Linked DNA regions of Anolis sagrei. The protein of the gene in region 4 purifies or fractionates together with the protein of the main gene of each other region. This does not show direct contact. Links are inferred from orthologs where the notes say so. Each region holds a gene or a part of one and is shown on either strand. Other genes may lie near its edges.

What was found.
Region 1: the proteins of ESR2 (region 4) and COPG2 purify together in Homo sapiens (affinity purification with mass spectrometry; 3 studies listed by BioGRID and IntAct, with this or other methods). This does not show direct contact. The link is inferred for Anolis sagrei from reciprocal best matches to the Homo sapiens genes ESR2 and COPG2.
Region 2: the proteins of ESR2 (region 4) and MRPS9 purify together in Homo sapiens (affinity purification with mass spectrometry; 3 studies listed by BioGRID and IntAct, with this or other methods). This does not show direct contact. The link is inferred for Anolis sagrei from reciprocal best matches to the Homo sapiens genes ESR2 and MRPS9.
Region 3: the proteins of ESR2 (region 4) and SRSF2 purify together in Homo sapiens (affinity purification with mass spectrometry; 3 studies listed by BioGRID and IntAct, with this or other methods). This does not show direct contact. The link is inferred for Anolis sagrei from reciprocal best matches to the Homo sapiens genes ESR2 and SRSF2.

Annotation. Positions count from the first base shown.
Region 1 is NC_090025.1:194,474,746-194,482,800, reverse strand, and holds the start of COPG2 (coatomer subunit gamma-2), read right to left. Parts: upstream 3,334-8,055; 5' UTR 3,250-3,333; coding exon 3,213-3,249; intron 1,008-3,212; coding exon 955-1,007; intron 853-954; coding exon 772-852; intron 1-771. UniProt on the Homo sapiens protein: The coatomer is a cytosolic protein complex that binds to dilysine motifs and reversibly associates with Golgi non-clathrin-coated vesicles, which further mediate biosynthetic protein transport from the ER, via the Golgi up to the trans Golgi network.
Region 2 is NC_090023.1:105,747,769-105,755,611, reverse strand, and holds the start of MRPS9 (small ribosomal subunit protein uS9m), read right to left. Parts: upstream 3,336-7,843; 5' UTR 3,216-3,335; coding exon 3,126-3,215; intron 1-3,125.
Region 3 is NC_090022.1:119,937,590-119,946,194, forward strand, and holds the start of SRSF2 (serine/arginine-rich splicing factor 2), read right to left. Parts: upstream 3,121-8,605; 5' UTR 2,929-3,120; coding exon 2,564-2,928; intron 1,380-2,563; coding exon 1,076-1,379; 3' UTR 1,069-1,075; intron 125-1,068; 3' UTR 1-124.
Region 4 is NC_090021.1:330,451,929-330,459,451, reverse strand, and holds the start of ESR2 (estrogen receptor beta), read right to left. Parts: upstream 3,518-7,523; 5' UTR 3,258-3,517; intron 1-3,257.

The DNA.
Region 1 (8,055 bases), on a different chromosome or scaffold from region 4:
AGATGGATGGATGGATGGATAGATAGATAGATATGAGGCCCCTACAGTCATAAGGGGAAGTCAGAAGGTCTGTCAGGATAAGGGAAAAGAGGAATTTAAAGGAGAGTTCTCAAGGGAATCGGAATGCATTTTGTGTAGGTCTTTTTGAATAAATATAGGGTTTTCACAGCTTTGCCTTCAGTGAGCGCAACGTCAGTTACCAGTCAAGTCTTGTATGTATGTCATGTCAAGATTCATGGAACTCTCTGCTCAAGACTCATGTTCAAGTTGCAGTTGGTGAATGTTTTCCTGATTGATTCTTCTGTGGATTTTGGATCTGTGCAACCTTGTTTCCTGGCTTTTCAAGAGACTTTGGACATTATCCTTTGTGGGTTTTAAGGACTATGCATTCGTGGATTTTGCTGTGGAAATAAGTATCAACTATGCTGTATTGATGGACTGTATTTGCTGACCTGCTGGGTCAGATGGTTTTTAGACTTTCTTATACAACTTTTTACTTGCCTTTTTCACCTTTCTTGATACTGCTTGCATTTATTCAAATAAACTGTTTATTTGCTAAAGAACTTTGGAGTGTTTGTGGGTTTAAAGGTGTGCTTCCAGCCTTGGTGTGCGACAGGTGGAATGTTAAATAACCTCTGTGTGTTTGTCTATATATGTTGTTTGTCTATGGCATTGAATGTTTCACATGCATATGTACACTGTAATCCGCCCTGAGTCCCCTGCGGGGTGAGAAGGGCGGAATATAAATACTGTAAATAAATAAATAAATACCTGGTTCAGCAAGTAAAGGATCTTGGTCAGGATGTGCAGGCATCTCCGTGGGTTGATAGGGGTCTCGTTAAAGATCCGAGCCTATGGGGAGATGGACAAAAATAATGCAGGAAATACGTACAGGGAGAGTTGAAGGACGCACATCCTGTACTTCTGAGATGCAATGAAAGGGCCCGGCCTCACCTCCTGAAGGATGGCGCTCTTCTCCAGATGCTGGAAAGGGTTGGAGCCGCTCCCTGAGGAAGAAGGGAAAGAAGCACATCATTATCCACATTATCCAGTTTTTTGGTTTTTTTTGGTCGTGTCAGGGGTGACTTGAGAAACTGTAAGTCACTTCTGGTGTGAGAGAATTGGGCGTCTGCAAGGATGTTGCCCAGGGGACGCCTGGATGATTTGATGTTTTTATCATCCTTGTTGGAGGCTTCTCTCATGTCCCCATATGAGGAGCTGGAGCTGATAGAGGGAGCTCATCCGCCTCTCCCCGGATTCGAACCTGCGACCTGTCGGTCTTCAGTACTGCTGGCACAGGGGTTTAACCAGTAATAAATAGAGATGGGGAAGAATCTTTGGCTAATATCCCCATTAAAGGAGCCACACATCTTCCGGTCTGGCTCTACGGTAGGCATGGGCAAACCTGGGCCCTCCAGGTGTTTTGGACTTCAACTCCCACAATTCCTAACAGCCAGTAGGTAGAAGGTGTTGCATCCTAGAACAGGAACGGGACTCTCTAATCATTAATTACACCACACCTTGAATGAAGGAAGAGTCCTTTTTATTTTAAGAATAACTGGAACCAATAAAAGAGATGATTATAAAAATTTCATCTTATTATAAAAATAAGCAAAAAGCCAAATAAAGCAGCAACATAAGCAGTGTCCAAACAAAGGAATTATATCCATGTCCCAACCTCGCAGAAATAATCCACAGGCAATGAATAACCAAAAAGACTTTAGAATAAACCCATGAACAGACTAGCCACTGCTAATCCACTTGAAAAGCCGTGAATCCTTAGAGACAAAGCCACATGAAAAAGGAATATCCAGGAGACTTGAGTTTGATTCCAAACAGTGCCTGGTCTAAAGAAAATTCTCTAAGAGCTCAATTTAAGTCCCAAAAACTGGTTCCTACTCCCCCCTGTTTTTGGCCTTAACTGCCGAATTCTTTCTGACCTGCGTAAACATTGGGCCTCTCAATGGTTCTGGCTGATCTGGCATCGATATTCCTTCGCTCAGCCTTCCCTAAGGTCCAGCTCTCACATCCGTAGGTTACTACAGGGAATACCATGGCTTTGATTAATTATTTAATTATTTAATATTATTAATTATTCCTACTATTATTATTATTCCTATTATTAGTATTATTATTAATTATTCCTACTATTATTATTATTCCTATTATTATTACTTATTCCTACTACTATTATTATTATTAATTATTCCTATTATTATTATTATTATTAATTATTCCTCCTATTATTATTATTCCTATTATTATTATTCCTACTATTATTATTATCCCTATTATTATTATTATTATTATTCCTACTATTATTATTAATTATTATTATTCCTACCACTATTATTATTATTCCTACTATTATTATTAATTATTCCTATTATTATTATTCATATTATTATTATTAATTATTCCTACTATTATTATTATTCCTATTATTATTACTTATTCCTACTACTATTATTATTATTAATTATTCCTATTATTATTATTATTAATTATTCCTCCTATTATTATTATTCCTATTATTATTATTCCTACTATTATTATTATCCCTATTATTATTATTATTCCTACTATTATTATTATTAATTATTCCTATTATTATTATTCATATTATTATTATTAATTATTCCTACTATTATTATTATTCCTATTATTATTATTATTCCTACTACTACTATTATTATTAATTATTCCTATTATTATTATTATTCCTATTATTATTATTCCTATTATTATTATTTATTCCTATTATTATTATTATTCCTACCACTACTATTATTATTATTCCTACAATTATTATTCCTATTCTTATTATTTTTATTATTCCTATTATTATTATTAATTATTCCTACTATTATTATTATTATTCCTATTATTCCTACAATTATTATTCCTACTATTATTAATTATTCCTATTATTATTATTATTATTATTCCTACTATTATTATTATTATTCCTATTATTATTTTTATTATTTATTAAGGACAAGCAGGACACGCCTCTTTCATGCTCTCCTCTGAAGACACGCCCCTGGGGGCGTGGCTTCAGCCCTGGGGCGTGGCTTGAGGCCTAAGTTCCTCTCTATGTACGGGGCCGCCTGGCCTTTATCCCAAGGGGCTTGCCAATCTGCCTAGCAACGGGGCCTACCTCGAAAGGCTTGCCACCTTAGCGACGCCAGCCCTCCCAGCCCGTCTCTTACCAGACTCCTCATCCTTCTTGTCGAACTTCTTGATCATGGCGGCGGCCGGCTCGGCTTCTGGCCGCCGAGTTCGAGCTTCCACCGCTCACAAATCCGGGAAGGAAGTCCCGCCTTCCCACTGGATGCACGCTTCCATTGGCTAGAAGGCGCTGTCACTCAAAACTTCAGGGCCACGCCCATTCGTCCCTCTCAACTGCTGACATCAGTCTGTATTTGCATACAGCACGCCCCCTTCCTTTGTAGCCACGCCCACACGGAAGGGAAGGAGAAATACAGTACGTCAGTCTTGATTTGCGTATGGCCCGCCCCTTCTCCCTTGTAGCCCCGCCCACAAGGAAGCAACCAGCCTGATTTAAAGGGGCCGCAGCATATATTTACACTCCTTTTGTTTATTGATTCTAGGGAATCAATAAGGCGGTCAATGGGGAAGCTTTTGACCCTCCATCTCCCATCATCCCCATTCAGCAAGGATCATGGGAGTTGCAGTTCAGATTATCCACAACTCTTGAAGGTAAACACTTAACCCTTGGCATCACTTCTTTTTTGGAGTCCAAATTACAGTTAATGGTGCATCTACACTGTGGAATTAACACAGTTTGATACCACTTCAAGCTGCCCCAGTTCAATGCTGTGGAATGCTGGGAATTGCAGATTTTCCAGCATAGTAAGTGGCTCATGGGAGCTGCAGTCCAGATTATCCACAACTCTTAAAGGCAACCATTTAATCCTTGGCATCACTTCTTTTTTGCAGTCCAAATTACAGTTAATGGTGCATCTACACTGTGGAATTAACACAGTTTGATACCACTTTAAGCTGCACCAGTTCAATGCTGTGGAATGCTGGGAATTGCAGATTTTACAAGGCCTTCCGTGACCTTTTCTTCATTCCACGGAACTCCCAGTATTACCAAGCACTATTAGAATAGTTTGACCATTTCTGCTCCCTTGGCAGCTACCTCTCCACAAAAGTCAACATTGACACTGAAAGACAACACCGCCTGAGCTCTGCGAGTGCAGCATTCTTCCAAATGAAGCAGAGAGGGTTACTCCGAACGCAAGATCGGAAAACGAAATGTTGGTGGGCAGGAAAAGAGATTGAAAGATGAGTTCAAAGCCAACCTTAAAAACTCTGGCATAGATATTGAGAATTGGGAAGCCCTGGCTCTTGAGCGTTCCAGCTGGAGGTCAGTTGTCACCAGCAGTGCTGTATCATAGAATCAAAGAGTTGGAAGAGACCTCATGGGCCATCCAGTCCAACCCCCTGCCAAGAAGCATTCAAATCACCCCTGACAGATGGCCATCCAGCCTCTGTTTAAAAGCTTCCAAAGAAGGAGCCTCCACCACACTCCGGGGCAGAGAGTTCCACTGCTGAACAGCTCTCACAGTCAGGAAGTTCTTCCTCATGTTCAGATGGAATCTCCTCTCTTGTAGTTTGAAGCCATTGTTCCCTTGCGTCCTAGTCTCCAAGGAAGCAGAAAACAAGCTTGCTCCCTCCTCCCTGTGGCTTCCTCTCACATATTTATACATGTCTTTCATATCTCCTCTCAGCCTTCTCTTCTTCAGGCTAAAAATGCTCAGCTCCTTAAGCCGCTCCTCATAGGGCTTGTTCTCCAGAGCCTTGGTCATTTTAGTCGCCCTCCTCTGGACACATTCCAGCTTGTCAATATCTCTCTTGAATTGTGGTGCCCAGAATTGGACACAATTCTGTAGGATTTGAAGAGGCACAAATGGAGGGCGAAAGGGAGAAACGTGCCAACAGGAAGGCGCATCAAGCCAACCTCAACTAGGACCACCTTCCTCCAGGAAACCAATGCCCTTGTAAGGGATCAAGGGTTTAGGGTGCAGGGTCCCTTTTCGAAGAAATCCACAGTCTAATTGGTTCATGTGAGACCCCATTTATTCAAGCTGATCGACATGAGACGGACAGACAGCACTTTTGTTTGTGCTTTAACAGACTGCCACACCCCCTTGGCTTTTGTACACCGTTATATACTCAAGTAATACAAGGGATTACTAGTACTCTCTTTCCAGCCCCCCTCCCTTGACCTTTTGATGGAAAGTACCTTCTTGTACCTGCAGACTCTGCGCTTAACTGCAACCTTTGCACTTAACCACAACCCAACTTCCTATGTAAGCTTGAACTTTGTATGACCTCTACATGATGCCTCTTGTTTTTAAAACATTTTCTTCCGTGTTGTTCCTTTTCTACAGAGATAGGGTATATTTCTCTTTTGTTGTTAATTTCATTCAAAGCCCCTTGCTTAGCATTTGCAAATTTCACTCAAAGACCCTTTCACCCTCACTGCGGGAGAAGATGCGGGTCAAGAATAGGGCTCCCCAGTCAGCTACGGACACTGATCTTGGAAGACAATCCTACTCAGACAATGAGGGATTGCCTAAGTAAGTAAGTTACTCTCCAGGTTAAGTTTGCACAAATCCAGGATTTCCTAAAATGAAACCTATCTAAACTTGGCTGTCTATTTATACTGTCCTGGCAGTCAGAATGGCTGTTGCCAATAAACATGGCTATTGTTTCCAGGACACGGATTCAACAGATCAAGCCAGGGAAAGAGAAATGCTTGCGCAAAAGCATAACAATCCTGAGGTTTACTTAATGTAATGCACTTTTTGCATTTTCATGATAACTCCCTGAATACGGTCACCTCTCCGTATCCATGGAGTCAACCATCAGCAGCTTGAAAATAGTGTTGCATAATATCTTTGCAGAAGCCTGTGGGGAACTTGGCCTCTCACTGAACATCAAGAAAACTAAAATATTCTTCTAACACCAGAAGGCACCAACCAATCCCTCCGCAATGCCAGAAATACAGCTTAATGGTGTAACGCTAGAAAATGGGTTGCTATGAGTTTTCCGGGCTTTCTGGCCATTTTCCAGCAGCATTCTCTCCTGACGTTTCGCCTGCATCTGTGGCGAGTGGCATCTTCAGAGGTCTGTTGGAAGTGAAGCAAGTGGAGTGTATATATCCCTATGGAATAATGTCCCGGGTGGGAGGATCTCTTTGAAGCGAGTGTGAATGTTGCTTCAATTCCGTTGGACTGGCCACCTTGTCCAGATGCCTGACCGCCGTCTCCCAAAGCAGTTGCGCTACTCCAAACTCAAGAATGGAAAACGGAATGTTGGTGGACAGGAAAAGAGATTTAAAGATGGGCTCAAAGCCAACCTTTAAAACTTTGGCATAGACACGGAGAACTGGGAAGCCCTGGCGCTCCAGCTGGAGGTCAGCTGTGACCAGCAGTGCTGCAGAATTTGAAGAGGCATGAATGGAGGGCGAAAGAGAGAAACATGCCAAGAGGAAGCCCAACCCCGACCGGGACCACCTTCCACCTGGAAACCGATGCTCTCACTGTGGGAGAAGAGGTAGCTCAAGAATAGGGCTCCACAGTCACCTATGGACCCACCTCCAGTACACCCAACTTGGAGGACCATCATCCTTGGACTACAAGGGATTGCCTAAGTAAGTAAATAAGAATGTTGCAACTAACCAAGTCCTTTCTCCCACCCAGGACATTCCATAGGTGTAGTCTTCCCTCGCTACTTCACGGTTCGCTTTTAGCAGACTCGCTGTTTCGCGGTTTTTAATTAAATATGAATTGAAAATATATATCACAGTATTTTCGCGGTTTCGCGGGTTTTTTCTGCTGCCGCTTTCCGAGGCGCTTTCCCTCCTCAGTCCTCTCTCTCTCCTACCTTGAAGGCCTTTCCTTTCTTTCCTGCGCTCTCTCTCTCTCTTCACCTGGTGAAGCAAAAGGCGAGGAGGGCTAAGTGAGCGAACACTGCATATATACTCCACGTGTCTCAGTAGCAACAGAATCTCTGATGATACCACTAGCCGCAGATGCAGGTGAAATGTCAGGAGAGAACGCTGCTGGAACATGGCCATACAATGCATGTGGTAGGCCAAAAAATGTACAGCAACTGTCACGATGCTAGGGCTCTGCCAATATTTAGGCAGAGATGAACCAAACTCCCAGTTTTTGTTAAACAATTTAATTAAAACAGCACTTACTTTCTGGCTGTTTTAATAGTCCAAAACATAAAACATAAAGATAGCCACAGAATATAAATAAAGTGTTATTCAAGTGTTATGACCATGCTGTTACATCCCGAATAGATTACTGCAACACACTCTACGCAGGGTTGCCTTTGAAGACTGTTCGGAAGCTTTAACTAGTCCAACGGGCAGCAGCCAGATTGCTCACCGGAGCATCATACAGGGAGCGCACCACCCCCTACTATGTCAACAGCTTTTTCAGCAATGGTTTTATGATAGCTTGTTTTAAGCTTGCTGGAAACTTTCCCTCCTGTAAGGAGGCATTAACTACCACCTTCACCCACTCTGCCAAGCCCCCTCTGGCTTCTTTTATCAGCCAGGATGGACAGGGGTCTAGGATGCATGTGGTAGGCCTCACTTCCCCAAGGATCCTGTCCACATCCTCAAGCTGAACCAATTGAAATGAATCCAATAAAACCGGACAACCAGATGCTCGTGCTACATTCTCAGAGACCGCTGTTAATATGGCGTCGAAATCCGACTGAATCAACGCAACTTTATTTGTGAAGAATCGAGCCAGTGCTTCACAGCGAGCCCCTGAGTCATCAGGGATCTCGCTTTTCGGCGGATTTAACAGACCCCTGACAACTTGGAATAGCTCAGCTGGACGATTCTTCACAGATGCAATATCGGCTGCAAGAAATGATTTCTGCGCCGCCGCTATTGCCACATCGTAGGACCTTAAAAAGGCATTCAGATGTGTTTGGGCTGATTTGGTAGGTCTCTGGCGCCACACGCACTCTAGCCTCCTCTTATTTCGCTTCATCGCC
Region 2 (7,843 bases), on a different chromosome or scaffold from region 4:
GCCAAGACACATAATTGAATTTGCAGTTCTTCCAGATTTCAGTAGGGGAAAAAATCTCTATGAAGCTACAATTATATAGTTATCTGGAAATCAAGCAACTAGCAAAAATTAACTAAAATTGCATACTGGATTCACAAAGTTATTTAATTTGTGTTGGTACCAAACTTTTATTTTCCCTTTCCCTGCTTTTGCACCCAGGGCAGGGGATTGCTTTTAGAAGCTCAATGAGGGCAGCCTGGTCTCCTGCTGCTCCAACATCTATTATTGTACAGATGGAGCTTCTAAACATAAGTGTAGATTATTGTGCTGGGATATTATATTATACTGGCAGCCAAAACAATTTTTACCTTCCACTCCCTCTGCTTTTTCCCAATATTCTGGAATGTCCTATAAACTTTGGCTCAAGTGTTCAGACTAATAAGCAGCCATTTGGAAATGGAAGAATTCTGAAAAATTGCCTTCTACTTCTGCAAGCAAAATTTTATGATGGAGGTATTGCTGTTGTGATCCACCATGGGTCACATAATTTAACAGAGCTCACCAGCTGAATATCAGTGAATATTCTGTTTGCTGAGTGTATGTATATCCATGTTTCTATTGTAGCTTCTCGATTTGTATAGTAAATGTGCAATCCTTAGTGTAATACCACATATAACTCGAGCTACAAACATTACAAACAAGGAAGAAATACAATCCAGGTGGAAACTTAAAAAAAATGAAACATATCACCAAACTGAAGGCCGACAACTACTCAATCAAAGAGAACTTGGCAGGGCAAAATAAGTTTCATTCAGTCAATTGGCTGAATTCAGAATCTGATTTCAGTATCTCATAAACCAAGAGGAAAAATGTAAAGTTCATTTTTGGAAATGGTTAGACATTATGAATTATCCCCATATTCCTGGTGGTGGCTGAAGCAAGAGTGCAGTGCAGCCATCATGCTATGTTCTGTCCCTCTTTGTTTATAACATGATGACAAATATAACAGCTTCAGTTACAGCATGGATGCAGAATGAGAGAGTTCACCATATGAATGCTATTGAATGTATATGAATGTTTATGTTTTTGCAAAGACGAGCTTCTTACAGTATTAGAGATAGGTTTTGGTATGTAACTTTTATGGAGGTATGTTTAGTGTGTGTATTTGTGGTGCTTTTGCTGTGTTTATGTATTCTAATTGTTTTGTAACCCGCCTTGAGCCATGAGGAAAGGCGGGTAAGAAATAAAATTATTATTATAAAAAGAAGGGAAAGAGAGAATGTAGATTCATCTTTAAGGATCATTTATTTTTATTCTAGCAGGGGATTTCTTGGCTATAAACCCACTTCTTCAGATACAATACACAGTGCTATAGCATACTGTACATATCTGAAATTCTTGGGATGAAAAGCGTTCTGTATTTTTCCCCTTCCCTAAATGTTGGATATATACACACACACACACACACACATATATATACACATACATATAGTGTGTCTGTGTATGGGCTCCCTGGTGGTGCAGTGGTTTAGACCACTGAGCTGCTGAACTTGCTGACCAAAAGGTTGGTGGTTCGAATCCGAGGAGCGGGGCACGTTCCCGCTGTTAGCCCCAGCTTCTGCCAACCCAGCAATTCAAAAACATGAAAATGTGAGTAGATCAATAGGCGCTGCTTCTGCAGGCAGGTAACAGCGCTCCTCGTGGTCTTTCCGGTCACATGACCTTGGAAGTGTCTACGGGCAATGCCGTTTCTTCGGCTTAGAAATGTCAGTGAACCTGTTACCTTAGGTAAGGTTTGTCCTTTTTTTTTTTTGCTTTGAATTACTATATTTCAATATATTTCAATATTAATATTAATACTGAGTTTATGGTATAACATCGTATGGGGTATAGCATTATTTAGAATTAAATAGTAACTCTCAAGCCCCTTCCACACAGCTGAATAAAATCTCATATTATTTGCTTTGAACTCGAATATATGGCAGTGTGGACTCAGATAACCCAGTTTAAAGCAGATATCGTGGTATTTTCTGCCTTGGTATTCTGGGATATATTGATGTGTGGAAGGGCCCTTTGGCAACCAGAAACTACATTGATCTGGAATTTTCCAATCCTCATAGGGCCCTTCCACACAGCTCTATGTCCCAGAATATCAGGCAGAAAATCCCACATTATCTGAGTGTGGACTCAGATAACCCAATTCAAAGCAGATATGTGGGATTTTCTGCTTGATATTCTGGGATATAGAGCTGTGTGGAAGGTCCAATAGTTTAACAAAGAATCTGTGCTTTTAATCATTTTGAGCATGGAACAAAATGTCTGATCATTGAGCCCATCAGATAGCAAAGGCATCACTACCTCAGCCGCCCATGTGGACAAATGCAGGGCCATATAACCCAGAATACCAAGACCGAAAATCCCACAATATCTGGTTTGAACTGGGTTATCTGAGCACCATTCCACACAGCCATAAAACCCAGAATATCAAGCCAAAATATTCAACAATATCCGCTTTGAACTAGGTTATCTGAGTCCACACTGTAATATATACCAGTTCAAAGCAGGTAAGGTGGGTTATCCTGCCTTGATAGTCTGGATTATATGGATGTAGAGAAAGGCCCCGAGTCCACACTGCCATATATTCCAGTTCAAAGCAGATAATGAGGGATTTTATTCAGCTGTGTGGAAGAGGCCTTGGACGGTGAGACATTTTGGATTTCGGAATTCAGGGCAAGGAGGGGTCAATTTGTAATTCTAAATGAGAATAATTTTAATCTCCCCCCTGAAGAATTCCCTGCAGGGATTGGCTGATGCTGAGGGGGCCTGTTGAGCAGAGTCAGCATTTGGGCCAGGAGTTGCTGTGGGCCTTCGGGTCCTTTCCGACTTATGTCGGCCCTGAAACGAATTCAGTCGGGGTTTTCTGGGGCTGAGAATGTGTGACTCTCTCAAGGTCACGCGGGGCGCTCCCACGGTTAAGCAGGGATTCAAACCCTGGCCTCCAGAGCCGCAGCCTTACGCTCCGCCCCTTCCCCCGCGCTGACCGCGAACGAAATGCCACCTGGGGTGAGAGGAAGAAGCGGCGTGAGACCCCGAGGCACTGACGTCACTACGCAAGGGCCTTCCGAGGCCTCCCCTCCCCTTCTCACCTTGGATCCCACGAAGGGCTTCCCCCTCCTCCCTGAGGCGCTCCAGCGGCAGCAACCCGCCAGCGCGCGCCCGACCGCCGCCGTTGCCATGCTTGGGAAAAAAAAGAAAGAAAGGGGGGGCGGGGGAGACGAAAAGCAGCACGCACGCGCTCTCGCAGGCAAGCCAGCGCGCGCTCTCACACACAAAGCTCTCCTGCCGTATTCCGCAACTGTCGCACGTCCCCGCACATGACGCAAAAAGGAGTCTCCACACACCAGTCCCTCCCCGACCTGCAGTCCACTTTGATTGGCTGCCACAACTCGAGGGAGGCGGGGAAAGTAAAAGGACGCGCAAAAAGTCACGTGATTTTAGCCGGGTTGACATTCGTCGCTGTTTAGCGAAAAGTTCCCGCGCTCTTTCAGTGAAGAGGGGTGGGGCTTCCTATTGCAGGGTTTGATTCCACGCATGTCTCTTTAGTTCAGTTAAGGCTTTCAGTTAAGAGGGGAAGGAGGGTTAACTGGGAATGCAAACGCGTGTGGACTATTATAGATGCGTTTGATTACTACTACTACTTTGCATGATGTTTAATATGTTGGAAGCCGCATTGGGCCCTTTGTGGGAGAAAAGCGGGCTATAAATAAAGATTTAGAATCTATATAAGTAAAAATGTAATGTTCGTTTGCGGGATTAACAGAACTCAAAAACCACTGGACGAATTGACTCCAAATTTGGACACAAGACACCTAACATCCCAATGTATGCTCTTCACTCAAAAGTTTTTGATTTTCTCATTTGGGAGTTGTTGTTCCTGGGATTTATAGTTCACCTACAATCAAAGAGCATTCTGAATTCCATCAATTATGGCATTGAACCAAACGTGGCATACTGGACTCCCATGATCAACAGAAAACACTAGAAGGGTTTGGTGGGCATTGACCTTGAGTTTGGGAGTTGTAGTTCACCTACATCCAGAGAGCACTGTAGACTCAAACAATGATGGATCTGGACCAAACTTGGCACGAATATTCCATATGCCCAAATATGAATGGAGTTTGGGAGAAACATTTGGGATTTGTAGTTACTGGGATTTATAGTTCACCAACAATCCAAGAGCATTCTGAACCCCATCAATGACAGAATTGGGGCACATTTCCCACACAGAGACCCCATGACCAACAGAAAATACTTAATGACATCCAGTCCAACTCTCTTCACCAGGGCAAGAAAATGTTAGAAACCAATACTTCCTCATTACTTTATTTTCCAGATCACCAGGATGGGCCACAGCAACGCGTGGCAAGGGATGGCTAGTCTATATAAATAAAAATGTAATGTTCTTTGTGGGATTAACATAACTCAAAAACCAGTGGATGGATTAGGACACAATACACTTATCAGGCCAATGAATGATCATCATTCATAAAAACACTGAAAAACACAGCAGAAGAGACTTTAAAAGCCAAAAAATGAAAAATACATTACAACACATGCCCAAAACCACATATTTACACAAACACACAGGATATCGTGACGGGGTATAAAATAAAGTTTTATTATATGCACAAATATAAATAAACACAAAACACATATACACAGACTGGGCCACAGCAACGCGTGGCAGGGGACAGCTAGTAATAATAATAATAATAATAATAATAATAATAATAATAATAATAAAACTTTATTTATACCCCGCCACCATCTCCCCAAGGGACTCGGGGCAGCTTACATGAGACCAGGCCCAACAGTACCTCAAAGCAAATATACAACATAAATACACACAGTAAAATATAATAAGAAAAATAAAATACGAAACAATATAAATAAACACACCAAACAATATGTTGTCATTAATTCGTTCAGTCACTTCTGACTCTTCGTGGCCTCATGGACCAGCCCATGCCAGAGCTCCCTGTCAGCCTTGGGCACCCCCAGCTCCTTCAAGGTCAATCCAGTCACTTCAATGATACCATCCATCCATCTTGCCCTTGATCGGCCCCTCTTCCTTTTTCCTTCCATTTTCTCCAGCATCATTGTCTTCTCTAAGCTTTCCTTTTTTTCTCATGATGTGGCCAAAGTACTTCATCTTGGTCTCTACTATTCTTCCCTCCAATGAGCAGTCAGGCTTTATTTCCTGAAGTATGGACTGGTTGGATCTCGCGGTCCAAGGCACTCTCAGAACTTTCCTCCAACACCACAGTTCAAAAGCATCTATCTTCCTTTGCTCAGCCTTCCCTAAGGTCCAGCTCTCACATCCGTAGGTTACTACAGGGAATACCATTGCTTTAACTATGCGGATCTTTGTTGCCAGTGTGATGTCTCTGTGACATCGACCGAACAATATAAAATCACAGTGGCCAGGGCAAGTTGCAAAGATTAAAAGTTTAAAACACAGGGTAAGCAGGTCATGTAGTGTATCTAGAAAAGGGGTGAAAGTAAGGTTTAATTGCACTAGAAGATAAAATAAAGTGCTCCTGAGGGCCTTCTCTCGCTCCCGCCACCACGGAGGAGGCCCTCTCCCTCATCCCCACAAGTCGCACTTGCAATGGGGGTGGGAGCGAGAGAAGGGGCTCTCCGGAAGATTGAAGGGATCGTGTAGGTTCGTAAAAGGAAATGTGGTTATGAAGGTAGGCGGGTCCCAAACCGTTCAGGGCTTTGTAGGTAAGAACCTGCACATTATTATTGATTATTGACACAAAAACACAGTATGACACAGCAAACGAGATATATATGCTGGATTTCGTATCACAAAATCACAAGCCGAACCCTTTCCATATTATTATTATCATTCCATTTTCTTTTGTGGAGTTGTAAGCAAATGATGCCACTGTTAACTGCCATGGCTCAATCCCATGAAACCCTACGAGTTGCAGTTTAGTGAGGAGCCAACACACTGACAGAGAAGGCTAAAGGCCTTGTAAAACTACAACCCCCGCGATTCCATAGCATAGAGGGCCCTTCCATACATCCCTATATCCCAGAATATCAAGGCAGAAAATCACACAATATCTGCTTTGAACTTGTTATCTGAGTCCACATTGACATATAACCCAGTTCAAAGCAGATAATATGGGATTTTATTCAGCTTTGTGGAAAGGGCCTGAGTCATGGGAGTTCAAGTGACATCTAACTCCATTCATTCTCCTTGTAAACTAGGCACCCTACATTATCTTGGAGAAGTGAGATAAGTACAGAAGGAATTGTAGTAGATGCACCTCAAAAGTTTTGGAAAGTAATCCTAATTCCTGCGTATTTGGTACAGGCTTGAACTGAAACTTGTTGCATGAAGAAGGCAAAAAAGAAACTTCAGCAGCCCCATTTGCAATCAACAACCAATAATATGTTGTCGAAGGCTTTCATTGTTGGAATCACTGGGTTGCTGTGTGTTTTCCAGGCTGTATGGCCATGTTCCAGAAGCAGTCTCTCCTTAGAGAATGCTTCTGGAACATGACCATACAGCCCGGAAAACTCACAGCAACCCAACAACCAATAACTTGTGCAAAGACCTCCCAGTCTCAAAGAGAGCAAAGCAAAATAATCCACCAATCTTAATGATACAGTCCTCTAAAGTGTCTTCCCTGTTTTCCAAAATAAAATGAAAAAGAACAGAAGAAATTAGGCAGAGTATTCTCAGCAAAACCAGAAGTTATCAGGCACCAAAGCAGCAGGGAAATCCAGCTTCTTCTCATTTTGTAGCTTCAGTCTAGTTCTCAGGTCTACAAATTCTGCAGTTGCCATAATGCAAGGGAGAGAAGCAGCATGAGTATCCCTTCTGTATATACACAACTGATGGGCATGGGCTGTGCTTCAGCTGCGCTGGACACTCTCCTATATGTGACAACAACGTAACCTCAAAATACTGCCAAGTTGGGTTTGATTATCATTTCGGGGGCCTTTGGGGAAGGGGGGAGGGAAACACTTAAATTGACTATGAAAACATTCTCCTTTTCAGCCCACAGACACCAAAGAAGCTTATATATATTTGAAAATAAAATTAAACAAAAATAAAATTAAATGGATACTATTACAGATGAAACCTATAATTCATCATATCTAGCAAGGTGGAACCATAGCATCATAACTGAAATACTTTGTTATTAAAATTACTACATGGGGAGTGCTTTGTTAAACAGGAGAACACCCAACATACTTACCATAATTAACAAGATTCCATAACCTTGAGCCATGGCAGTTAAAATGGTGTCAAACTGCATTAATTTTAGAGTGTGCGTGATTCTTGAGTTCTAATTTTACAGGACACAAGAAAAACTCTTAATCTTTTTATAGGGCGAATATACACTGACCCAATGCAGTCACATTAAGGTGGTTTTTTCCTGCATTACCGCACAATGGGCCCATCCGGCCAAAGTTAGTCAGTATAGATGTGTTCCTCGGCATAAGTTTTATTTACGTGGTCAATACTTCCACAGTGGAATTAATTCAACTCTTTCTCTCTTCTTACAAAAACATTGTGATCTTCATAACTATCCTGTGTGTTTGGATCTCTAATGAAACAGAATTTGGAGGATTAAGTTCAGTCGTTTCCTCAGATGTTTCCCCTCAATATTGGAATAAGATATGAAAAAACAGTGCTGGCAGGTTTCCCTCCATATCTATCATCTTGTCATCACTTTTCTTGATAGGCCCATTACTCTTGTCATGAAATAGGCATTTCCCTTCTTATCTTGGCAGGGCCATTTCTTCATCTTCACCTGATAATGATATCTCCCCACTCCCC
Region 3 (8,605 bases), on a different chromosome or scaffold from region 4:
ACAAAATAACCTTTTTCAATAGCTGGTTGCTTGTGCTGGGGTCTTTCCAATGGACCGGCGATTCAAATGATCGGCTCTCCTCCAAAGGCATCCTTTATGTCGACTTCTCGTCTATTTGATGTATCTAGGTTTGAAAAATGTAGACTTCAGCAAGGAAAATCCTCTCCCCCCTTTCACATTTTGTGGATCCTTTCCTAGTAAGTGCTGGCCTTGTCTTGACACATCTGAGTATACATTACCCACCTCCCACCAGGCACTAATAGTTGGTGCAATGAGACTTTTTGAGGCAAAGACTGTGGATTCTCCATTAACCACAGCACATCGTGTTGAGGAATGCTCAAACTACACTTAATACAAGACCAGCCCAAGTATGTTAAATTACAGATGAGTTCTTATTCAAAATCTTGAACAATCATTAAACAGCCGCATTTCCATAACAGTTCTAGGCCCCCTTCCTTTGAAAAAAACAGGACCAAAAATTTGAGGGAGGTTAAAGACACACTATCCATTTTGCCCACCTAGCACATCTTTTGAGCCCGCAATTGCAGTGTAGAAGCGCCTGGTTTCCATAAAGATTTGCTTTTCAGCTTTGGTTTCTAACAACATTGGAAGCCATTGACCTGTCTGTGTGGCCACAGGCCCGTTTGCCCATTAACAGGATAGTGTATCTTTAACAAGTAAAGACAAACCTGCTCCAACACACGCCCACAGAAACTGGTCCCTGGAGGATCAGCCAAATCAGTTAAAATCTGCAATACTGGCCAATATTCTTTAAGCAAACAGGAGACCGCAGCTTTAGAGGGGAAAATGCAGATGTTGGGTAAGAACAGTAAGAAATAGTCATTTTCAGAAATAGGTAGTGTCGCAAAACAATAGATATTAAAAAGCAAGCTATCAAGAGCAACAAAAGAAGGTATCCTTTCATTAACTACATACTAAAGCACCCTCCTCAGAAGTAAACAACATGCCCCATTAGCTTTTACAGGCTCTAAAATACTCCAGGAAGGACCCCAATTGCTATAAAAAAGGGGCACACATGCAGGGCCAGCCGCCCAGAAGGCACCTTACCATTGCCTTAAGAGGACACGGCTCCTTCCTCTTCGGGAGACTTGGGCGGGCTCTTGGAACGGGAGCGCGACTTGGACTCCCTCTTGGAGACCGGTGGTGGGCTTCTCGACCGGGAGCGGGACCTGGACCGGGAGCGAGATCTAGATGGGGAGGAGGACTTGGACTTCGACCTTCGGGCTGAGCGAGACTTGGAAGTGGAGCGAGAGCGCGACCGGGTGCGGGAGCGGGACTTGGAGCGGCTGTAGCGAGATCGGCTCCGGGAGCGGGACCGGCTTCTGCTCCGGGATCGGCTGCGACGGCGCCTCCTGGGGCTGCAAGAGAAGGGAGAGAGAGAGGTTGAGGGGGAAGGAAACACAGGCAGAAAGGTGGGTGGGTTTGTGTAATGTTGCAACACTCTAGTTCAGGGATGGGCAAACCTTGGCCCTCCAGGTGTTCTGGACTTCAACTACAACAATTCACAACAGCTGGTTCGCCCATGCCTGCCCTAGTTGCTTTGAATGGGGAGTTTCATTCACAAGGGCGGGGACGCAGGCAGGCTGGCTCCCCTTCCTCTTGTCACGTGGCTGCCGTGGGGCTCAACTTTCTCTTTCCTGTCTTCCCGCCACCTCACTTCTGCCTTTTTTCCTGCCTGACACCCCTCCATGAATCACTCTTCACATGCTGCCAGGCACTAAGAGCGCACCTACACTGTAGAATTAGCTCAGTTCTATACAAGCAGAAACGTATTATAGAAACAGAGTTGGAGGAGATCCCAAGGGCCACCCAATCCAACCCCTTCAAGAAGGGCAGCCTTGCCGTGGTTTGAATGATTTGCGCACGGGTCTAAAAGGTTTCCTCTTGCAGGCAAAGACAAAAAAAGCACCCTATTATAACAGAAAAAAATATTTCCACACTAGACTGTAAGGGTTTCTTTTTCCTCCCTGTTGGGCTTCACACCTCACATGAGTCAGGAAAAAAACCCTCCCAAGGTAGAATGACTGCAGTTTGGCTGAAGGCGGTGGGATCCTGGGACACTAGCGCCATTTGGCAAAGAAAAACGTTGAAACTACAGCTCCCGTGACCACTTTTTTTTTTGTAAACAGCATATTTGAGAGTGATTAGTTCCTAGACCGTTAGTACTTTGTTCAGCACTTAATACACGGTTGCACTATCCCTTGCCCAGCCCTTTTATAGTTTGGCCATTGGTATTTTGAACCTGTCTGATGGGAGCTATACTGAAACCGGTTTGTAGGTATTTTCTGTATGTTTTAGTCGGGTTTTAGGTTTAATTGGTCTGCTTCGTTTTTCCTTTCTGGCCATTCAAGGTTTGGCCTTATATGTTGGAAACCGCCTTGAGTCTCATCGGGGAGAGAAATAAAGTTATATTATTATATTATTACTGTAACTTGTCATGAATCCCACCCCTTCCCGCTCTAGCTGTGTTCCGTGGGCTGGCTGAGGCCCGTGCTTGAGGGAGGCCCAAGCGCCCCCCCCCCCCCCAGGGCCGCTGGCTCACCTCCTGCTGCGCCGCCCGTATCCTCCTCCGCTGCCGTATCGGCGAGGCGGGGGCCCGCGGCGGCTGTGGTGGGAGTCGGGGGGCCGCCCGTAGCGCGCCATCTGGACGCGGAGCTCCCTGCCGTCGAGCACGGCCCCGTCCATGGCGTCCATGGCGTCCTCGGCGTCGCGCTTGTCGTGGAAGCGGACGAAGGCGAAGCCGCGGCTCTCCTTGGTGTAGCGGTCGCGGGGGATGTAGACGTCACCCACGCGGCCGTACTTCTCGAAGACGCGGCGGAGCGTGTCCGGGGAGGTGCGGTAGGTCAGGTTGTCCACCTTCAGCGAGGTCATGCCCTCCACGTCCGGCGGCGGGCGCCCGTAGCTCATGGTGGCCGAAAGGAGGAGGAGGAGGACGAAGGGGACCACGAAGACGACGACGACAACGGGCGAGGAGGCCCTCTCTCAGGGACCCGGATGGAAGCACGCGGCGCGGGGCCTCAGTTGTGAGCCGCCATCTCCGCGCGGCGCCACGAGCGAATGAGCCTGGGCCCGCCCTTCCTCCCGCACTTAAGCGCCGCCACAAAATGGCCGCCGACCCTGACCCGGAAGGGACCCTCGGCACCACCCACTCGCCCTCCCTCTCTTCTCAGTTATACCTCAGTCATACCTCAGCTATAGACTAATCATTTCGTATGCATGAGCTAAAATGGCGGGGGTTCTTGTTTCCAACAGCATGTTTTTAAACCATATTTTTCCTTATTGCGTTCAAATGCTCGGGTGTCCGTTAGGGCGCAACCCGGAAGGGAATGATGGGATCCTCGCCCCGCGCTCTCTCCCCTCTGCAGAAAATGATTTTCAAATCGCACTAAATGTGACAGAAGTGTGTTCTGGGATACCCTTTTTAAAAATCATAAACATTTAGTCTTGTATTTTAGACGTGAATGGACAGGACGGCGTTTGTCCGAAGAGGAAAATCCTGCATTCAAAATGGCGCCCAAAGAAAGGACGGAGCCGAGGGCTCCCTCAGGCGCGCGCACGGCGTCGGTGACGCGCACGTCACAGGCAAGCAAAAGCCGCCCGTCTCTGAGCCGCAGTGAAGAGGGGCCAGCCAGTCTCGGGAGGGGCGTGGCCACGCTTCGCCCCGCCCCCTGCGTCCTCTCTGAGTGAGGCCTAGGCGGCGCCCCTGGCTCCTTCGACGCACATGGAGCCTTTTGTCTTTTCTCTCTCGTGTTGGCTTACTCTTGGCTGTTAAAGCACAGCTAGCAGAGGGAGGGGCTGAAGGCAGCAGAGAAAGACAACATGAGAGACTAGTGAGCAAAGATTTCAGCTTTTCAGAACTTCTAATTGGAGTGGATGCTGAGTAAAGGGGAGTTATTTGCACTCCCATTTTACTGTGCTTTGAATGCGATTTTCCTTCTTGGCAGGAGGTTGGACTGAATCATAGAATCAAAGAGTTGGAAGAGACCTCATGGGCCATCCAGTCCAACCCCCTGCCAAGAAGCAGGAATATTTCATTCAAATCACCCCTGACAGATGGCCATCCAGCCTCTGTTTAAAAGCTTCCAAAGAAGGAGCCTCCACCACACTCCGGGGCAAAGAGGTCCACTGCTGAACGGCTCTCACAGTCAGGAAGTTCTTTCTCTTGTTCAGATGGAATCTCCTTTCTTGTAGTTTGAAGCCATTGTTTCGCATCGTAGTCTCCAGGGAAGCAGAAAACAAGCTTGCTCCCTCCTCCCTGTGGCTTCCTTTCACCTCTATATACATGGCTATCATGTCTCCTCTCAGCCTTCTCTTCTTCAGGCTAAACATGCCCAGCTCCTTAAGTCACTCCTTATAGGGCTTGTTCTCCAGACCCTTGATCATTTTAGTCGCCCTCCTCTGGACACATTCCAGCTTGTCAACATCTCTCTTGAATTGTGGTGCCCAGAATTGGACACAATATTCCAGGTGTGGTCTAACCAAGTCAGAATAGAGGGGTAGCATTACTTCCCTAGATCTAGACACTATGCTCCTATTGATGCAGGCCAAAATCCCATTGGCTTTTTTTGCCGCCACATCACATTGTTGGCTCATGTTTAACTTGTTGTCCACGAGGACTCCAAGATCTTTTTCACACGTACTGCTCTTGAGCCAGGCATTGTCCCCCATTCTGTATCTTTGCATTTCGTTGTTCCTGCCAAAGTGGAGTATCTTGCATTAGTCACTGTTGAACTTCATTTTGTTCGTTTTGGCCCATCCCTGTAATCTGTCAAGATCGTTTGAATGGCCTACAAGATCTCTTTCAACTCAATGATTCTATGATTCCAGCCTGTAAGTGTGAGTTGAGACAGACAAGAGGTCTGTTTATGGGAGTATCTATACTGTAGAATTAGTGCAGTTTGACGCCACTATAACCGCCATGGTTCAATGCTATGTAATTTTATAGTTCTAAAAGGTCTTTACCCCCCATTGTCGAAGCCTAAACCCCAGCCCCCAGTATTTTGTAGCACCAAGTTCAAGTGGTGTCAAACTACAGTGTCAATGCACCCTATGCTAAAGAGATTTTAATTGATGTCCATAAATGGTAGGCTTCTAAAAGTGCACCTGCACTGTCGAATTGTTATAGTTTGGCCTCACTTTAACTGCCCTGTCTCAATGCAGGGGAATCCTGGTGAAGCACCAGCACTTTTGGGCAGAGAAGGCTAAAACACATCATTATCAGAGAATGATGGTCTTCCAAAGATAGAGACTGCAGTGGGTCTGTAAGTGACTCCAGGATTCCCTAGCAGTTAACGTGATGTCAAACTACATGAACTCTGTAGTGCAGATACAGCCTTAGCTGGGTGAAACGTGTAGTTTCCCAAATGCTGCTGGATGGAGAGCCAGTGGTGAATAGTGAATGGATTTCAGTGCTTGGAGGGCTACATGATTTCCTCCCCAAAGTACACATGCCATGATTTGTGGCTTCAACAAGGTGGGGGCCAGTTTGAATTGAAGCAATACAGTTGGCTCCTCTGTATCCATGGATTTGATCATCAACTTGAAAATACTCCATATAAAAAAAATCCCCAAAGGCGAACCTTGACTTTCCAATTCAGTTTTAAGGAACACCATTTGACTATCTGTGTATATCATGAGCTGTGAATTTTTGTATTCATTGGAGTCCTGAAACCAAACCCCTGTGGATCCTGAAGGCCCACCGTAATTCTTTGCAGGCAGCGCATAGACACTTTTGAGGATATGATGAAAGCGGTGCCGCTCCTCCCAGAAAAATACACCAAAAATATACAACCTTCTGCATACAGGCTTTTTTAATTGGATTGGAAACGGATTTCCTTCATAAATCAGTCTGGAATGAAAGCAAATGAATGTTTGGAAAGCCTGGTTTATTTATTTACTTTATTATTTATTTATTTCTATCCCACTTTTTGTCCTGGGCCAGGACTCAAAGCAAAAACATAACACACAATAAAAATAAACAACATCATAAACATAATCGCATCTAATAAAAATTATTTTATAACCCACATAAATGCAATTAGCATCCAAACAAAGAACACAATTAAACATTCAATAGATTAAAATAAATTAAAAACCCCATCTAGACTAAGTTCATTTAGGTCACTGTCAGGTCCATTCCCGGAGATTATTTGTTATTTATTTAATATTTAATTTATATCTTCCCATATAGACTCCAAAGTGGCCTTTTTTACTACCTTAAAATACATTGTGATAAGAAAAAATGATCAGAACAAGGAAATTGAAGAAAGCCATTCATTCCTAGAAGTTCTTGAGTCCTTTGAGCACAATCCACCGGACCCCAAGAAGGTGGATAAATGGGCTTCATGTTAAAAAAGATTCATATCTAATAGCTGAAGATCCAACAGCACCTGGAAATATATGGTTGGGAAATCAAGCATGCATCTAAAAACTAGAATTAATGTGGTTTGATATCACTAACTGCAATGGCTCATTGTTACGGAATCCTGGGAGTTCTAGTTTTATAAAGCCTTTAGCCTTCACTGCCAAAAAGTGCTGGGGCCTCATCAAACTACATATCTCATTATTTCATCACTTTGGGTCATGGTAGTTAAAGTGGTGTCACACTGCATTAATTCTAAAATATAGATGCACCCATGGTCTGCTTCTTGTGTTTCTGAGGTCCCTTCCCCCTATAGAGGCATGAAGTAAGGTTGTAATTGTGACTGTAAGAAGAAATACTCAAATGAAGACAAAATGTATTAGTTTCTAACAATTTCTAGCATATCAAAACCTAGAAACAATTGCAGACCAAATCAAAAGATTATCTTTTCTATCAACTAAATGATCTTGACTAACTTGCTTCAAGCTTTTAACAGAGAGGGGAAGAAAATATGCAGCCCTGGTTGGTTCTACATTGTAAAATGAATTAGATTTGCCACTACTTAACTGCTCTGGCACAATGCTGTGGAATCCCAGGATTTGTAGTTTGATGAAGCACCAACAGTCTTGGGCAGAGAGGGTTAAAGACCATGTAAAATTACAGCTCCCAGGATTCCATAGCACTGAGTCATGACCGTGAAAGTGAGTTATTTATTTACCCTACTTATACCCCGCTTTTCTCAACCCCGAAGGAGACTGAAGGCAGCTTTACATATAGGCAACTGTGTGATGCCTTAAAACAACATGAAATTAAAATAAACATTTAATTAAGAATTACAATTCAGAGGTAAAGGTTTTCCCCTGACATTAAGTCTAGTACTTTCTGACTCAGGGGGATGGTGCTCATTTCTGTTTTTAAGCTGAAGAGCCAGCGTTGTCTGTAGACACCTCCAAGGTCATGTGGCTGGCATGACTGCATGGAGTGCCGTCATCTTCCCACTGGAGCGGTACCTATTGATCTACTCACATTTGCATGTTTTTGAACTGCTAGATTGGCAGAAGCTGGGGCTAACAGCGGGAGCTCACGCCACTCCCTGGATTTGAACCACCGATCTTTTGGTCAGCAAGTTCAACAGCTTAGTGGTTTAACCCGCTGCGTCATCAGGGGCTCCAAGAATTAAAATTAAAGCACATTAAAACATTTAAAAACATTACATTCACTGTTAAAAGTACACCACCCACAATCGTAATCCGGGGCCGTTCCAGTAGTCATTGCACATAATTCCTATCTATTATTGAACTATAATTATTATCTGAAGGCTTGATCTCAAACTGCATTTATTCTACAGAATAGATGCACCCCAAATTTGTCTTAATGCAGTTTACTACCTTTGAGATTGTAAAGCAATTTCAACCAGCTATTATAGTGAAGAGAGTTACAAGACAAGGTGCCCAAATAAATGCTAATTTCAATGTTTATAACAAATAGAAAGATTTAGGGGGGTTTTGCAGAGGCATAAAGAGTGAGACAGCTAAGAACTATTTATTATTTCTGCTAAGAGGAATTTCTTTTGGGGAAAAAACAAACAAGTGTAAAACACATTGATCAAAGTGTTATTTAATGCTAAGCAGTTAAGAGTGGCAATCTAACATTATGGAGCTAACAAAATTGCAACCATTCATCCATAGCCACCAAATAAGACATTTCTCATCACTGAAGCAGATCGCCACCCATACTCGCCATGTGCTCGTTCTTCCTGCTTTTTAGAACTGCATTTCCCAGGGTTCACCTCTTCTGCTTTCTGTCATTTGATCAGCTGACTTGACATGTGAGCTGGTCTTTATTTCCTGCCCTGAATAAATGGAAATTATCCAAGTTCCATTTGTTGTCAGGTGATTTATCGTTTTTGGGGGCAAAAACTGATTCAGAGATATGGTGAAGTGTCCAAGAAGATCAGCTGGGCCTGAAGGTTTCTTCTTTATGGGGAATCTACTCTTATTCTGAGTGTGAAAGGTAGAGTGAATCTTGTATGATCATTCATTGATTAGTGTGTTTTCCCTGCTACTGTTGTTGTATGTAGGTATTACATTCATAAATAAATAGTCTCGGTTAATGCAGTACTAGGGCTGAAGCTTTATTTATTGTGATCTTTTTTGTATTCTCTTGGCAGAAACATAAAAAGAGAAGGAAGTTTTAAAGCCAGACGCGCCTGCATTTCAGTTT
Region 4 (7,523 bases):
CCGGTTGAATTCCAGACAAGGATCAATCAGGTCCAGCTAACAGCTAACACTTCCCAGCAAAAGATCCCCCAGGCAGCAACCAGCCAGACTTTGAAGCTACAAGGCCATTACACTCTAATCAAGGTGTCCAATTGCAACATTCACACAAGCAGTCAAGAGTTCTTTCTCCCTTCCTGGACATTCCACAGACATACAAACCTCATTTGCCTAGTTTCCAACTTTTTTTTTTAATTGTGTCAGGAGCGACTTGAGAAACTGCAAGTCGCTTCCGGTGTGAGAGAATTGGCCATCTGCAAGGACGTTGCCCAGGGGACGCCCGGATGATTTCATGTTTTTATCATCCTTGTGGTAGGCTTCTCTCATGTCCCCGCATGAGAAGCTGGAGTTGATATAGGGAGCTCATCCGCCTCTCCCCGGATTCAAACCTGCGACCTGTCCTGCCGGCACAGGGGTTTAACCCACTGTGCCACCGGGGGCTCCCTGATCTCACAACCTATGAGGATGCCTGCCATAGATGTGGGAGAAACATCAGGAGATAATGCTTCTGGAACATGGCCAAGCAGCCCAGAAAACTCACAGCAACCCAGTGATTCCAGCCATGAAAGCTTTCGACAACACATTCTTTCTCGCAGTCTCAAAGGTGCCAAAAGATCCCTTTGCATACTTATAATTGTAGTCTCAATTATAAGTATGCAAATGGATCTTTTGGCACCTTTGAGACTGAGAGAAAGAATGTGTTGTCGATATGGCTATGACTCTGAATCCTACTGTCATTGGATAAGGATGAAACAAATGTTTAAATCTCTCATTAACATCAGTGGAATTTAGTGGAAACATTTCTGTGCCCATTCAAATAAAAGCCATTGAGATCAACAAAGTTTTTTCCAGATAACCACATATAGGATTGCTACGCTTAATGCTTAATACTGGATGGCTCATGGACAACTATCCATTACTACAGGTTATCAGTTCGATAGAGAAGCATCAGAAATTAAAAGGGCATGAATAGATGACAACATTCATAATTAAGCAAGTAATTATATTAATCTCTTTTCATGCCATTCCTAAGAAGGGAGACTGTAGACACATACCAAGAAATATCTGTGGCTCATGCTAAAATCTTCAAGATTTCCAAGAAATAAATCCCACAGGATGCAAGGGGGTTTGTTTCCGAGTACATAGTTTGGACTCTCTCCTTCACAGAGCTGACAATAACACAGGACTAAAAAACAACACAAGACATTGACTGCCTCAGTTCCTCGGGGCTTAGGGTGGACCCAGTTTGACTAGCTGCCCAATCTCTCCAGTTTCTCCATCACTTTGGCCAGTGTTTTCAAACACTTCTGCCATTATCACACAATCTTCTCTGGGGGTTGGGACCCCTGGGGGAGGGTTGCAAGTGGGGTGCCAGAGGGGTCACCAAAGACCATCAGAAAACACAATATTTTCTGTTGGTTTCGGGGGGTTCTGTGTGGGAAGTTTGGCCCAATTCTATCATTGGTAGGGTTCAGAATTCTCTTTGATTGTGGGTGAACTATAAATCCCAGCAACTACAACTCCCAAATGTCAAGGTCTATTTCCCCCAAAATCCACCAGTGTTCACATTTGGGCATATTGAGTATTCGTGCCAAGTTTGGTCCAGACCCACCATTGTTTGAGTTCACAGTGCTCTCTGGATTTAGGTGAACTACAACTCCAAAATTCAAGGTCAATGCTCACCAAACCCTTCCAGTATGTTCCGTTGCTCATGGGAGTTCTGTGTGACAAGTTTGGTTCAGTTCAATCATTGGTGGAGTTCAGAATGCTCTTTGATGGTAGGTGAACTATAAATCCCAGCAATGACAACTCCCAAATGCCAAGGTATATTTCCCCAAACTCCACCAATATTCATATTTGGGCATATTGAGTATTTGGCTTCAAACTACAAGAAAGGAGATTCCATCTGAACATGAGGAAGAACTTCCTGACTGCGAGAGCCGTTCAGCAGTGGAACTCTCTGCCCTGGAGTGTGGTGGAGGCTCCTTCTTTGGAAGCTTGTAAACAGAGGCTGGATGGCCATCTGTCAGGGGTGCTTTGAATGCAATATTCCTGCTTCTTGGCAGGGGGTTGGACTGGATGGCCCACGAGGTCTCTTCCAACTCTATGATTCTATGCTAAGTTTGGTCTGGATCCATTATTATTTGAGTCCACAGTGCTCTCTGGATGTAGGTGAACTACAACTCCAAAACTCAAGCTCAATGCCCACCAACCCCTTCCAGTATTTCCTATTGGTCATGGGAGTTCTGTGTGCCAACATTGGTTCAATTCCATCGTTGGTGGAGTTCATTTGATTGTAGGTTAACTATAAATCCCAGCAACTACAACTCCCAAATGACAAAATCAATCCTCCCCAACCCAGTATTCAAATTTGGACATATCAGATATTTGTGCCAAATTTGGTCCAGTGAAGGAAAATACATCCTGCATATCAGATATTTATATTATTATTCATAACAATAGCAAATTTACAGTTATGAAGTAGTAATGAAAATAATGTTATGGTTGAGGGTCACCACAACATGAGGGACTGGATTATCATAGAATCAAAGAGTTGGAAGAGACCTCATGGGCCATCCAGTCTAACCCCCTGCCAAGAAGCAGGAATATTGCATTCAAATCACCCCTGACAGATGGCCATCCAGCCTCTGTTTAAAAGCTTCCAAAGAAGGAGCCTCCACCACATTAGAAAGGTTGAGAACCACTGTCTTACTACTTCATCACACTAGAGAATGAATCCACTTTAAATCCGGTTTCTGCCTCCTGCAGAATTCTGGGGTTTGTAGTTTAGGGAGGACCCTTTAGGAGCCTCACAAAACTACAAACTCCAGAATTCTGCAGGAGGCAGAAACCGGATTTAAAGTGGATTCATTCTCTAGTGTGATGAATTGGTTAGAGGAAAATAAATCACACTCACGCCCAGCAGTCCCAAGAATGGTAGAGTTGGAAAGGACCCCAAGGGTCATCTAGTCCAACCCCTTGTAGACCAGTCAATCAAGAAACAAACTTCTTCTAGGATTCCTTTCCAGCAACTCTCCAGAGAGCAGACTTCCAAAAGCAGAGGAAAGGTCCCTTTCCGCTTTTATATATATATAAAAAAATCAATCCATGTACTATTTGATTCCAAAATGGACCTCCATTCCTCATGATCTCCAAGGGGTCTTTTCCACTCCATTAGAGTGGCCAGTTCATTCACAGACATTTCCACAGCAAGGACTTACCGGAGAGCTTTGGAGTGCGCAGTCGAGGAGGCGCATCAGGATGCCTCCTCAGCTTCTCTTCTTTCGCCTCTTCCTGGCTTTTTCCACCCTCGAAAGGCACTCTGGCTCTGGGGACAAGTCGTGGCTGGTGCCTCCTTAGTGTCTTTCCAAAGCCCTACAGCCTTGGAAGGATCCGCGACCATCACACGCGCGTCCGCAACCCACGCGCGTGTTTTTTCGCCATCCCTCCCAGCCAAGGCAGGAGTTTGCTGTAAGTAAGTTCCTCCTCCTTCTCTTCCTCCTCCTCTTTGCCGTAATAAATTGGAGAAGCTGGCGTGAGTCACTCACTCCCTGGCAGTGCCAGCTCCCATGCCCAAGAGGAGGACTCTCCTCTGGTGACCACAAGCAGGCAGGAAAGGAAGGAAGGAGGGACCAGCCAGCCGCCCAGATAGGTGATCATCCTCATGGCGGGAGAGCACTCCAGGCTCACCTTGGCCACCTCTTCCTTGCCCACTGGGGACTTTCAAGTCTCCTGTCAACTGGTGGCCACCCCAGGAATGTAATCTTATTTTCTCATTTTCTTTTATAAATATGTATTACAGTTTTTCTTTAGAACATAGAGTCAAACAGAAAAAAGAATGAAGGAAATAAAGGGAATTGAAAAATAAATCAAAAAGAAGGAATCATAGAATCATAGAATCAAAGAGTTGGAAGAGACCTCATGGGCCATCCAGTCCAACCCCTTGCCAAGAAGCAGGAATATTGCATTCAAATCACCCCTGACAGATGGCCATCCAGCACCTGTTTAAAAGCTTCCAAAAAAGGAGCCTCCACCATACACCGGGGCAGAGAGTTCCAACTGCTGAATGACTCTCACAGTCAGGAAATTCTTCCTCATGTTCAGATGGAATCTCCTCTCATGTAGTTTGAAGCCATTGCTCCGCGTCCTAGTCTCCAAGGAAGCAGAAAACAAGCTTGCTCCCTCCTCCCTGTGGCTTCCTCTCACATATTTATACATGGCTATCATGTCTCCTCTCAGCCTTCTCTTCTTCAGGCTAAACATGCTTAACTTGTTTAACTTGTTGTCCACGAGGACTCCAAGATCTTTTTCACACGTACTGCTCTCGAGCCAGGCGTCCCCCATTCTGTATCTTTGCATTTCGTTTTTCCTGCCAAAGTGGAGTATCTTGCATTTGTCACTGTTAAACTTCATTTTGTTAGTTTTGGCCCATCTCTCTAATCTGTCAAGATCGTTTTGAATCCTACTCCTGTCCTCTGGAGTATTGGCTATCCCTCCCAATTTGGTGTCGTCTGCAAACTTGATGATCCTGCCTTCTAGCCCTTCATCTAAGTCATTAATAAAGATGTTGAACAGGACCGGGCCCAGGACGGACCCCTGTGGCACTCCACTCGTCACTTCTTTCCAAGATGAAGAGGAAGCGTTAGTGAGCGCTCTCTGGGTTCGTCCATTTAACCAATTACAGATCCAAAGAAGGGGATCACACAATGAAGAAGAAAAGGGGGGGGGGGACACAAGATACATTACATCTGCATTAAAGTAAAATTAAGATACATTTACATGTAAATACAAATTTATTTGTTTATTTATTTACTATATTTATCTACGGCTCTTCTTAGCCCTTAGGCGACTCTGAGCGGTTAGCAATAGCAAAACAGCGCCCCTTACTAGATCTTAAACACCTTCATGTTTCAAAGCCTGTCTGAATACAAAGGTTTTGATGTGTACATAATATCCTACTCCTAACCAACAATGTGTTGCAACTTATATCTCATTTTTCAGATATTTTGGATTTGGAATCAATTGAGTAGTGTGACTGTCTGCATGTCCAACATTCAAATAACTACATCACTTTGTTCTGAGACCATTCAGCCATGGAAACCCATTGATTAACCTCGGGCAAGTCATTCTCTCTCAACCTCAGAGGAATGCAGAGGCAAACTAGCTCTGAACAAACCTTGGCAAGAAAATTCTGTGAGAGGCTTGCCTTTGGGTCGCTGTAAGTTGGCAATGCGTTGGAGGCACACAACAATACTAGCACATATGATCCTGGCAATTGTAGATGTGGATATTGTGCAGGAGGGGGGAGAACTCCCTGTACCTTTTAGTTGTGGTTGTGTCGTTATAATTTCTAACACATTAAAGAAACTAAAATACAGAAAATGGGAACAGTTTGACTTGCTCAGACGAAGAAGGTGGAAGGCTCCAGACGATGATCTTTGGTATTAGAATGGAGGGAGTCCTAAGTACACAAGAGTGCCTGTAATATTTTCCTCAGCACTGACACATATGGTGTTATCTGCTTTCCAACACAGTGTTTGCTGCCCACCCTGTTCTTCTGACACAAATGAAATCACAACTACACACAAGCAGCCCCCAAAATGTTCAGAATCCTAGAGGAGAAACTAAAACATTGTATGAAAAGCGTCTGTACGCCCAGCAAAGGCAGATTGTTTAGTTCCTTTTATTAATTTCTGTACAGGCAGCTGATTATTTTCTTATTTTTCAAGGAAAATATGCGATACTTGCATGTTTGTTCAAACAAATTTACAGATACCTTTCTTCCATTTCTTGTCATTTGACAAAATAACACAATGTGGATGGAATGAGGATATCATAGAATCATAGAGTTAGAAGAGACCCCAAGATTAGCCTCTACTTCAATGTCTATCCAAAGCCAAGGCATTTATTTCAACAGCTTTTGAGAATAGGTTCTTGTGGGTTTTTTCGGGCTATAGGGCCATGTTCTAGAGGCATTTTCTCCTGACGTTTCGCCTGCATCTATGGCACGCATCCTCAGAGGTAGTGAGGTCTGTTGGAATTAGGACAATGGGTTTATATATCTGTGGAATGGCTGGGGTGGGGCAAAGAGCTCTTCTCTGCTGGAGCTAGGTGTGAATGTTTCAACTGACCACCTTCATTAGCATTTGAAGGCCTGGCTGAGCCTGGGAAAATCTTTTGCTGAGAGGTGTTAAGATGTCCCTGCTTGCTTCCTCTCTGTTGTTGTGCTGTTGTAATTTTAGAGCTTTTTAATACTGGTAGCCAGATTTTGTTCATTTTCATGGTCTCTTCCTTTCTGTTGAAATTGTCCACATGCTTGTGGATTTCAATGGCTTCTCTGTGTAGTCTGACATGGTGGTTGTTGGAGTGGTCCAGCATTTCTGTGTTCTCAAATAATATGCTGTGTCCAGGCTGGTTCATCAGGTGCTCTGCTATGGCTGACTTCTCTGGTTGAAGTAGTCTGCAGTGCCTTTCATGTTCCTTGATCCGTGTCTGGTCAATGCTGCGTTTGGTGGTCCCTCTGTAGACTTGTCCACAGCTGCATGGTATACAGTAGACTCCTGCAGAGGTGAGAGGATCCCTCTTGTCTTTTGCTGAACGTAGCATTTGTTGGATTTTCTTGGTGGGTCTGTAAGTGGTTTGCATGTTGTGTTTCCTCATCAGCTTCCCTATGCGGTCAGTGGTTCCCTTGATGTATGGCAGGAACACTTTTCCTCTGGGTGGATCTTCATCTTTACTCTCGTGGCTTGTTCTTGGTCTTGCAGCTCTTCTGATGTCTGCGGTGGAGTATCCATTGGCCTGGAGAGCCCAGCTTTTGAGAATATTTTTTTAAGAAACACCTTTTTGTAGCATTCTGTACAGTCTTCAATTGTGTTATCTTCAAATGTCTTTTCATTAACTTTTAAATAAGTGCTTCCAAGTTTGGTTTTAGTGTTATTCATAGTTTCATTCCAACATGATGTCAGCCTTTTGTAGAAAATCATAGAATTGGAAGAGACCACAAGGGCCATCTAGTTTAACCCCCTACTATGCAGGAGCACACAATCAAAGCACCCCCTACAGATGGCCATTCTTCTCTTTAAAAAAAATCTCCATAGAAGACTCTACTATGTTCCGAAGCAGCATATTCCATAGCCAAAAGGTTCTTATAGTATCATAGAATCAAAGAGTTGGAAGAGACCTCATGGGCCATCCAGTCCAATCCCCTGCCAAGAAGCAGGAATATTGTATTCAAATCACCCCTGACAGATGGCCATCCAGCCCCTGTTTAAAAGCTTCCAAAGAAGGAGCCTCCACCACACTCCGGGGCAGAGAGTTCCACTGCTGAACGGCTCTCACAGTCAGGAAGTTCTTCCTCATGTTCAGATGGAATCTCCTCTCTTGTAGTTTGAAGCCATTGTTCCGCGTCCTAGTCTCCAAGGAAGCAGAAAACAAGCTTGCTCCCTCCTCCCTGTGGCTTCCTCTCACATATTTATACATGGCTATCA